Linked DNA regions of Arabidopsis thaliana. The protein of the gene in region 1 purifies or fractionates together with the protein of each later gene. This does not show direct contact. Each region holds a gene or a part of one and is shown on either strand. Other genes may lie near its edges.

Region 1 (4,458 bases):
GTGTTCCGCCGGCGATTCTCGTGACTCCTCCATTCTTCACGATGTTTTTGTGAGAGAGAAGTCAGATGTAAGCTTTAAACTGATGTGTATACCGTATGCGTTATTGATTCCTAATACTTCTTTTTCTGACCAAGAAGAGAAAAAAAAAGAAAGGTACACAAAAAGATTCCGAAACAATTTCTCAGTTTTCTTAAGAGACCCGTATAGAATATATTTTCTTACAGTTGGACCCCATCTTTTTAACTATTCGACTGAAACTTATGCTCATTACACGACCGGGCACGACCCCACTATTAGTGGTGAGCGGAATCAGAATCCAGAGGCGAGCAGAATCGGAATCCTAAACCCAATCTAGTGACCCAAACACGACAAAAGTTGTTTTGATATTTTTCTTTTTCTTTTCTTGTTTTTATTGTCATTTCAACCGTAATCTTTCATTTCAACAAACTTCTAACATAACAATTCAAAAAGATATATAGCTATGCCAAATAAAAGTTGTGTATAACTTAATGTTGATTATTAACAAAAACTAAATTAGTCTGTATAATAAATAATGATGTAATAACCAATCGATAGCACGAAGACATGACTAAGTACTGACCACGTAAGGAGACAATGACTAAACACGTAAGGAGGAGATTTAAAAAAACGCCATAAAGAGAGCACTAACCAGATGAAACCATAGGATTCATGATTCAAACTTTTACAATCGATTAGCGCTACAATATCAAAAACCTTAAATAGTCCAAAGTAATATCCGATGCCGTAAATATGATGATATTCATTAACCATCAAAAGCACAAGAGGAACACCCATTCTAGTTTCTAATCAGATTACAGAAGTTGCTAGCTCCTTAATATCGTCAGAGACTTGTTCGTAGTCTGTCTTTAACTTTGCAAGTTCTTCTGCAGTTAAATCTCCTTTCGCAGGTTTAAGCATTACCAAGACACAACATGTTGGTCGTTTCGTTGCCCCTGCTTGCGCAAGATCCTGAATTTCATAAAAAAAATATTGAATATCTTAGCACCACAAAACCGATTAATTGGTAAGATGATAGAAATCAAGAAAGAAAATTGGCTTACTTCTTTTGAAGGAACGTATACATAAGGAACACCAGCCTCCTCACACAAGATTGGAAGATGAGTAATAACATCAATAGGTGAAATGTTTCCAGCTATTACACATAATCTGCACAAACACAAACGTATCACATCAGATACAACATTCAAAACATAAAAGAATTTACTGTTTGCGTAGAAGAAGGAAAAAACAATTAGAAATGTAAAAATGTGGGTTCAAATCAGGCCCGCAAATCAAAGAACCAATAAGGAACTCAGAGCAGGCACAGACATTTGAAACCCATGATTCAGTTTCCGTGCACAGTACCATGCTACAATCATTCTGTTTAATCCAGAGCATCGGCTTAATTGTACACGGATATAACATCAACTATGCAAACAACTATCATAACATCAATGAAAACAAACATAATAAGTAACAAAAAGCAGAGAATGTAGATCTAAACCAGGCCGTCTCATCACGAAAAATCAGAGATGGCAGACATGTCGATCTATAGTTTAGTTTCCGTGCACAGTACCATGCTTCCTTCATTCTATTTTAATCCAGAGCATCGGCTTAATTGTAGACGGCTTTCAAAATCAGCTAAATAAAGAGCTTACACTAGTAGATAACATCATGAATGATCATAGAAGAACATGTTACCGTTTTCACAAACATAATCACAACACAAACAGAGAATGTGGATCTAAACCAGGCCGTCTAATCAGGGAAAAAATCAGAGATGGCAGACATGTCGATCCATAGTTCAGTTTCCGTGTACAGTACCATGCTACATTCATTACTTTAATCCAGAGCATCGGCTTATTTGTACACGGATTTCAAAACTAACTAAGCAATTTGCAGGACAATAACATCAACTAATCAATTAATAACACAAAACATCAACACATATACATCAGCTAAGCCATCTGCAACACAAAACAATCATAAATCACACTCAATAAAAAGACAAAGAATGAAAAAACTAACCCTTTCTGGCCTCGTCTTATGCTCTTAACCACTTCTTTAACTCCTCTCTTCAAACATTTCTTCCCAGCAGCTGACAAAAATTACAGAGCAATACACCAACATGAGCTACTAATCAATATATAATGAGAAATAAAGAAGATAGAGAGATGTGAAGCGAGCTTGGAACTGAGATTGGTACCTTTTTGAATGAGTTTGAAAGTTCTCTTCTGGAGTTTTTTGCCGGCGAGAGGTTTAGCGATAGGAGCAAGAGTAATAGCGTACTTCTTCTTCTCCTTTTGAATCGACTTCTCTGCTTCGGTATCGCTTCCCATATTTTTTAGCTAGCTAGCTCCAAGTAACAAAAATAATGGCGGAAGAGTGTGGCGGAAAAAACTAGGGTTTAGGCGGTTGTTATATGACCAGAAGTGTTAGGGTTTTTATAGAGAAGTGTATTATTGACCAGTAAAATATAGGAACCCTAATTTCATATGGGCTTGTTAATGAGGTAAACTGGTTGCATATAATGGCCCAATTATTTGGGCCTTCATACAGACTAAGATTTGCTACATTCATTGACTTTTGACTTTGAGATATTGTATGTTGTTTAGCTTGAAAATCAAAAAAATCAAATCCGACCAAAAAAAAAAAAAAAAATCAAATTTTCCTTAAGATAATGTTAGTTACTGTAGCTGGTGAATGTTATTTAACCACATTCTCGCAAATAAATTCCAACGATTAGTATGAGGTTTTTTATCGGATGCTCAGATGAAAAGACTTTTTTAAAAACTTCACCAAGTGATTTTGCTTTATCCATGACATCCATTATCTATATATATTACCAAAAAACAGTATGATTCTATTACCAAAACGTGTTTCTAACTTGCTTGAGGAAATGTACAAACAACTAACAAAAAGCCATAAGTGAAGATTGATGTTTGGAGCTTGAATGTCATTGTCGGGTCAATAAGTACGTAGGAATATCATGGGGATGGAGATCAGTGTTTGCGTTAGCAATTAACAATTTTCGGTTTCATCATATATAGTAGAAAATAATGAACTTAATCACAAAACAAAACAGTGGATAATCCAAAAAGCAGCTCAAGGCATGGCAGAGTTTACATATTTTTGGAGTGAATTGATTCTTGTTGTTAAAAACTCAACATCAAATCAGCTTCATGAACTTGAAACGCTTCTAAAGCATAGATATCAGAGTGAAGGATTAAGAACAAGTACCCACAGATGTCATCCTCGCTTCACCACTGATACATCGCCTACTACAATATATAGGAGACTGCAATTGATTTCACTGGTCCAGAGAAAGCAAATTTAGATGCCAACTTCTATCTCACCTACAAATGTATAAAGGGCATTGTTACAAGAACACAGGAAAATTTGTACCGATTTATACAATGGCAAATTTGTACCGATTTGTACCTACAAATGTACCGATTTATAAAGAGAAATCTTGCATGTTGGAAAAAAGCAAGAAAATTTTGAAGCTAGACTTTTTGATACATGAAACAAAACACAACACTTTTTCAGGAACATTGTTTGGTCAGACGAAGTAAGCAACCTACAAGAATCTGAACTTCTTTTTAATTATCCAACGCCAAATCTACTTGATAAACATTAAGATAAAGCTAAGGCGCTTATCAGTCAACTACACACTTCAATAACAAGCACTTCATTAACTGAAAAAACAAACAAACTAAAGAGGTCGAATTCTCACCAGAAACAACAGTCACCTCTTCATCTGCTCTCTAAGAACACAAAATCCTCAGCTTTCCCAGAAAAGTAATCGGACTTGACTCTGTTTTCCCTCACTTTTTTCTTCTTTCAAAAACCAATAAACAAAAAGATTCAAGTCAATAAGAAAGATACAAGAGGCAAACGCTGGATGCAGAGGTTTATCGATCTATTCATGCTTTTACATTTTTAATGTGTTCACAGGAAGAGATCGATGAACCGCTGCCTCCAGCGACTCTCACTCTTCTTCCAACTAAACTCCAAAATGTCAACGAAACATAAATTTTCCGAATCGGATCAAACGAAACACATCAGATCTGAAAATTCAACAGTCAAAATCTATACCACAAGTAGTAAATAGCTGGATCTTTATTGCCTTATGAAACCAAATGGACAAAAACATATACCCTAGATTACACACATGCATCTGCAGACAAACTGGGAGAAAGAGAATCAGTGTGATGATAGAGATATGTCAAATTAATGAATCCAACAAAGAAAGAAAAAGGAAACAGAGAGATGAAAGTTTTAACCAGGAATCTTCTTGACCAGATACCATTTGTGATTCTCTGATTTGCCTATTGGCCTACTACATCCCTCCTCTCTCTCTATCTTTTAATAACAAACTTTATAGATCTGGTTTTTTCTTCTAGAACTAAAATGTATTTGATTCATATTTATAAC
Region 2 (5,393 bases), on another chromosome or scaffold:
TCAATTTTGCCTCACGCTTCAGCTGGATTAATTCCCTTTCCTGAAGAAAACAAGTAGCAGAAACGCTCAATGAATTTGCATTTCTCACATTAGAAAAAATTGCAAACTAAGCTTGTAGAAAAATACTTTCTCCTGGTACTCCTTGGAGTACTGTTTAGCCCGGTTAAATATGAGTTTCCTCTTCTCAGCATTCTGCTTTTTGGCAGCCTCAAGCTCCTGTTTCTTGGCAAGTGCCCATTCTTCCTCCCTCTTTCTCTTCTTCAACACTGACTCAGGAACAACAGTCTTGGACTCTGCTTCAGTCATTTCTGTAAATTACATAGCCAAAGAACAAAATTGGAATACTCAATCGTTTAACTACACTTTTCCTGAAGAGAGAAACTGAAAAACAAACAAAATTAGATGCTACTGCTAATAAAATCAAAGCAAGAATTCCAGCTTCTTAGATAATGCAAGTGAAAACATATATAAAAATGTAACAAGTGAAATGGAATTGTGTTACACGAGTGAAACATAACCTTTCACCAAAATGATACAAAAGGTTTTAGGCTCCAAAAATCAATACTTTCAGGCAATTACTAGCATAATCCTCGTGTCTGTTGTCATACATATCAGAAAAAATCTTTTAAAAAACCTAGGAAATGGTCCACAAGTCATAGATCCAATTACATTCTATCACACAGGTTATGCACCTTAAAGACTCTTAATTTTTGTAAAGTAATCCAATTGCTAGATCACATGCGTTGTTTAGAGAGCTTTCTCAGGATTCCACCTTCTTCTGAACCAATAGCTAGATTTGTTTAGGCCAAATAAAGCCGAACCACTACCAAAACACACATAGCTTTCCTAAACCTGACCAATGCAATCGCGCAGCTCGAAACACGATTGATTTCTGCAACGATGTATGTTGAGAGGGCGAAGAGAAAGAAGAAGACTAACCGGCGATCACGGACGTCGGCGGTAGGATAGAGTGGAGGCGGGGCCGTTAACGAAGTGAAAAAGAGGGAGCGAAGCAAAAAAAAAAATCATTTTATAGTATGAGAAATTTTTGGACTAGGGCTTCGTTATGTTTTTATGATTTCGCTTTTACCCTATTAGAGTTGCGATATTTTTTGTTTTGACTCAGATAATTCGGCTTTACAAACAGACCCTTGGTTTATATTTTCTACTCTCTTCACATGTTTTTTAACTTTCAAAAACTTTTCTTATCAACTTTTTTGTTTCTTAAATTCAAAGATGAATGAACCACTCGACTAAAATAGTTTAACAGTTTTTTAGTTTATTTTCTTTCAAATTGGTATCTTAGATATATCATTCAATTTGACCATATATTTAAATCGTTGATATGAACTTTACTATTATTTCTCTTTGAAAAAAAAGAAAAATGTATGGCTAATGTCTCTTGAATGCCAAGAACACATTTTGTTAGTAACAAAGTGATTGGAATAAAACTAAATCGATTAATTTATTATTATGCATTTTGATTGGAGAAGTTGTCGAAACACACATACGGAAAACATAAAATTGTAAGAGTAACAAGTGATTTCAAATTTTAGTGTAGAATACATAACAAAAAAAGTTAGATATTTTCATTTTTTAATCAACCAAACATAATTTCAATGATAAACGATCAAAATAAACCGGCTTAATATAAGATATATCCTCATATTCTATCACAAGAGTTAGATTGAACCAATACTTAAATTCCTCTAAATTACTCTCATAAGAACAAGATTCAAACTTTACAATTAAGTTAAGAAATTAACTACATTTAATGGATCTGTTGATTTTAAAAAAAAAAACTACATTAACTGGGTCTACATGTAATATAAGAAAGTATGGTGCGTAAAACTAAACGTTTGGAAGGAATTTGGGGCAAAAGTTGACAAAGGGAAAAACGAAAGGATTTGTAGACAATACATAAGAAAGGAAATAAAATAAAAAATTGCAGAAAAAACCCTAATGACCCGTTCGCTTCAGACCATAAGATCCAAAACCATAAAACTAGGTTTCACACTTTCTCTCTAAACACTGTCTCTTTTCTCCGATACATATCCCGCCGCTTCCCCTGTGTTTTTCTTCGCCGTCCGTCGTTCTTTTCAACTCCTTAGCTGCGGTAAGTCTCTTGATGCTTAATCTGTTCTCCTTTCTTCTTCTTCGTCGTCTTATCTTATCGGCAGTGGTTAATTAAGGTCTATTGAATTGATCTCAAATTTGTATTCTTGTTTAGGATCGATCTTTCTTGTTGTTACTTGAGATGTTCTCCGATAGCTTAGTTCTTAGTTTGAAACTCATTATTAGCTAGATGTATATCCACATTCAGTAATTGTTTTATGGCTTGGAATTTGTAGAATTCAAATTTGGTTTTATACTTTTTTGAAGTCTTCTCTAGATGTGTGTAAGCTTCTGCGGTGGTTCTTCTATTTCTTAATCATTCAATCATATCTAGCACATTCTCTGACTCAATTTCTGTTGGTTACTTGATTGATATAGATATTAAAGTCTAGACACAATGAGAGGAAGGAGCTACACGCCATCACCACCAAGGGGTTATGGAAGGAGGGGCCGGAGCCCTAGCCCTCGGGGCCGGTTTGGTGGGAGTCGTGACAGTGATCTCCCAACCAGTCTCTTGGTTCGCAACTTACGTCATGATTGCAGGTATATTCTTTACTACTGCATGTGTATACTACTCTTTTCTCTCTTACACAAAATTATATATTTCTTTTCAATGATTTTGTTTCCTTGTAAGTTTTCGTGAGTCCATTACTTGTTTAGCCTTGTCTAAAAGGCTTTCCTAAAGCTGATGTATGACTCATCATCAAAGATTGGTTTGGTGGATTTTTTTGTGTGGCAAAAACTGATTTAGAAGCATGTAAAACGTATATTTCATTATTTTTAGATAGCGCATGCATAAACTTGTGTATCCATATTACTAGAAAATCACAGTTGTTTACAATTGGTTGACTCTGTTTTCTCTTGACCTTTTCTCCAGGCAAGAAGACCTCAGGAGGCCATTTGAGCAGTTTGGTCCCGTCAAGGACATCTACCTTCCTAGGGATTACTATACTGGGTGAGGATGCTCTGTAGATAAGACATTGAATGTTTATACATCCAGGGCATAATTTTACATTACTTCAATTAGACTATGTCTCTTTCTTATTGTTTTCTTTTGCTTCGTAAACCACCTTTTGTGAATCCTACATTCCATCGTATGCAGCTCATGAATTTGTTAGATTTATAAGAATTTTCTGAAAGGTCTATGTCAAACATGTCCGGTTTTATATCCAATCTTCCCAAAATCACATTTGGAGCCTTGAAACGTTTGTTTTATCTACACTTAGGTTTTCAGCTTAAGTCTAGTACACCTAAAACTTCGCCCTCTTCGAGTCACTTTAGGGAAAGAATACAGTGATATGTTCCATGTTCGGTCACACTTCGAGTCTGTTTATTAAAGTTGTTGAGGTTTAACAGTGAATCTAGAGAGTTGAAGAGACCAATGAAGTAATTAGAGTTCTTTGGAAGATGTTCTAAATGGTAGTGAAGGTTGGAAGGAAGTTGGGTTTGAATTCAATTTGAAGAGATATCAAGTCTTGGAGAAGTCATCTTTATACTGAAACTTGCAAGGTTTGCAGGCAAGTGCTTGCTTTTTCATGTTTATAACGATGGCTTCTATTGCAGGAGATTGTAATGCCAACTTTTTCTACAGGCTTCTCGTCAAAGCTGTACATCTTTCTTGCTTATTGTGTTTTTGGTTCTAGGCTGAGATTTTTTGTTTGTTTGTTGGATTTGTTGCAGAGATCCAAGGGGGTTTGGATTCATTCAGTTTATGGATCCTGCTGATGCTGCTGAGGCTAAACATCAAATGGATGGTTATCTTCTTCTTGGTCGTGAGTTGACTGTCGTATTTGCTGAAGAAAACCGGAAGAAGCCAACTGAGATGAGAACAAGGGATCGAGGTGGAAGGTGAATTGACATTCTTCCTAGAAAAAAGCATTAGTTTGTCTATACAATGAGATGACTTGATCTCAACTTGTATCTTTTCATGTTTGTAGGAGCAACAGATTCCAGGACAGAAGACGTTCTCCTCCTCGGTACTCTCGGTCTCCTCCTCCTCGCCGTGGTCGTAGATCACGATCACGTAGCCGCGGCTATAATTCTCCTCCCGCTAAAAGACATCAATCTAGGTAACTAGCTCTGCATGCCTGTGAAATTCATACTGACAGATATTCTTACAGTTAACTGATGGATTAAACCACCCTCTACTCTCCAACTCTGTCTTATGGCAGGTCTGTCTCACCTCAGGATAGACGATATGAGAAGGAGAGGTCATACTCTCGCTCACCACCCCATAATGGCTCAAGGGTTCGCAGTGGAAGTCCTGGGAGAGTGAAGAGCCACAGCAGAAGCCCAAGAAGAAGCGTGAGCCCAAGAAAAAACAGGAGCTACACGCCAGAACAAGCAAGGAGCCAAAGCCCTGTCCCTAGGCAGAGCAGGAGCCCGACCCCAGTCCCTCGTGGAGCACAAAATGGAGACCGTTCTCCAAGCCAGTGATTTATGATTACACCATATATCTCTCTACTCTTCAGTTTTTCAGTCTTGTTCTGTTTGATCAGATATTTTGTTTGCCTCAGATTGATATTTCCCTACTTAGACAGATATTTGTAGTGCTATTGGTATTTTGCTTTATGTTTGATCCATGGATGATCTTGAGACAGTATTTTGAATTAGCATGTGTTATTTGTCATCTTATCTTTTTAGATCTCATCTAACATTGTTATGGTGAAAAAGATGGTCCTATTATGGGAGCTTTTTGACGTAAGGCTCCTTTTGTTTTGAATCGGCATTTGAACACTTTCCAGCTATTTTCTTCTGCTTTCTTTTTCCAAAAAGCATCTAAGAAAAAAAAAACTTTGTTTCTTTCTTTCAAACAAAATGCCAAGATTAACGGTTTCTTACTTTTTAGTTTTTTCTCTTAACATTGGAAGTTTTATTCCAAAATCCAAACCCTGAGACAAGTCAAGTTATTAATTACAAGTGGTCATATGGTATATGAGTGTTACTAACGATTCTGTTCTTTTAGCCAGAAATTTTTTCTTCTGTTGACTTGTCTGAGTCTCTCGATCCGACAAAAGTCTTGGTCGTCGCAGGTTTTTGAATTTTCAGTTTTCCCGTAGAGCACTTAAGCTTGGATCGAAATGCACGGCGATAATGTCGATAATCAATTCTTTCTTCGTTTTGGAGAAATTTGGAAACAATTGTTTGCTATTTTAATGATCCCATAAAATAAATATATACGAAAACTTAATTAGGCAATTCTAAAAGACTATCAATTTCCGAATAATGGTGAATATATATATTTCTGAATCATTTTTAACGGTGATGAAAGAAACTGC

The links.
Region 2: the proteins of AT5G08180 (region 1) and SCL30A fractionate together in Arabidopsis thaliana (co-fractionation; one large-scale study listed by BioGRID). This does not show direct contact.

The regions. Positions count from the first base shown.
Region 1 is NC_003076.8:2,631,015-2,635,472, forward strand, and holds AT5G08180 (Ribosomal protein L7Ae/L30e/S12e/Gadd45 family protein), read right to left. Parts: upstream 2,837-4,458; 5' UTR 2,665-2,836; exon of another isoform or gene 2,422-2,664; 5' UTR 2,361-2,421; coding exon 2,228-2,360; intron 2,120-2,227; coding exon 2,050-2,119; intron 1,910-2,049; exon of another isoform or gene 1,756-1,909; intron 1,652-1,755; exon of another isoform or gene 1,510-1,651; intron 1,403-1,509; exon of another isoform or gene 1,286-1,402; intron 1,189-1,285; coding exon 1,083-1,188; intron 991-1,082; coding exon 829-990; 3' UTR 502-828; downstream 1-501. Other genes in the region: EMB1873 (porphyromonas-type peptidyl-arginine deiminase family protein), read right to left, coding at 1-33. UniProt on the Arabidopsis thaliana protein: Required for ribosome biogenesis. Part of a complex which catalyzes pseudouridylation of rRNA. This involves the isomerization of uridine such that the ribose is subsequently attached to C5, instead of the normal N1.
Region 2 is NC_003074.8:4,428,722-4,434,114, reverse strand, and holds SCL30A (SC35-like splicing factor 30A), read left to right. Parts: upstream 1-1,955; 5' UTR 1,956-2,116; intron 2,117-2,493; 5' UTR 2,494-2,512; coding exon 2,513-2,658; intron 2,659-2,992; coding exon 2,993-3,070; intron 3,071-3,795; coding exon 3,796-3,963; intron 3,964-4,052; coding exon 4,053-4,184; intron 4,185-4,286; coding exon 4,287-4,551; 3' UTR 4,552-4,859; downstream 4,860-5,393. Other genes in the region: AT3G13580 (Ribosomal protein L30/L7 family protein), read right to left, coding at 1-40, 127-306. UniProt on the Arabidopsis thaliana protein: Involved in intron recognition and spliceosome assembly. Binds probably to multiple 5'-GAAG-3' repeats found in its third intron, suggesting autoregulation of alternative splicing. May be necessary for accurate splicing of the 3' region of introns.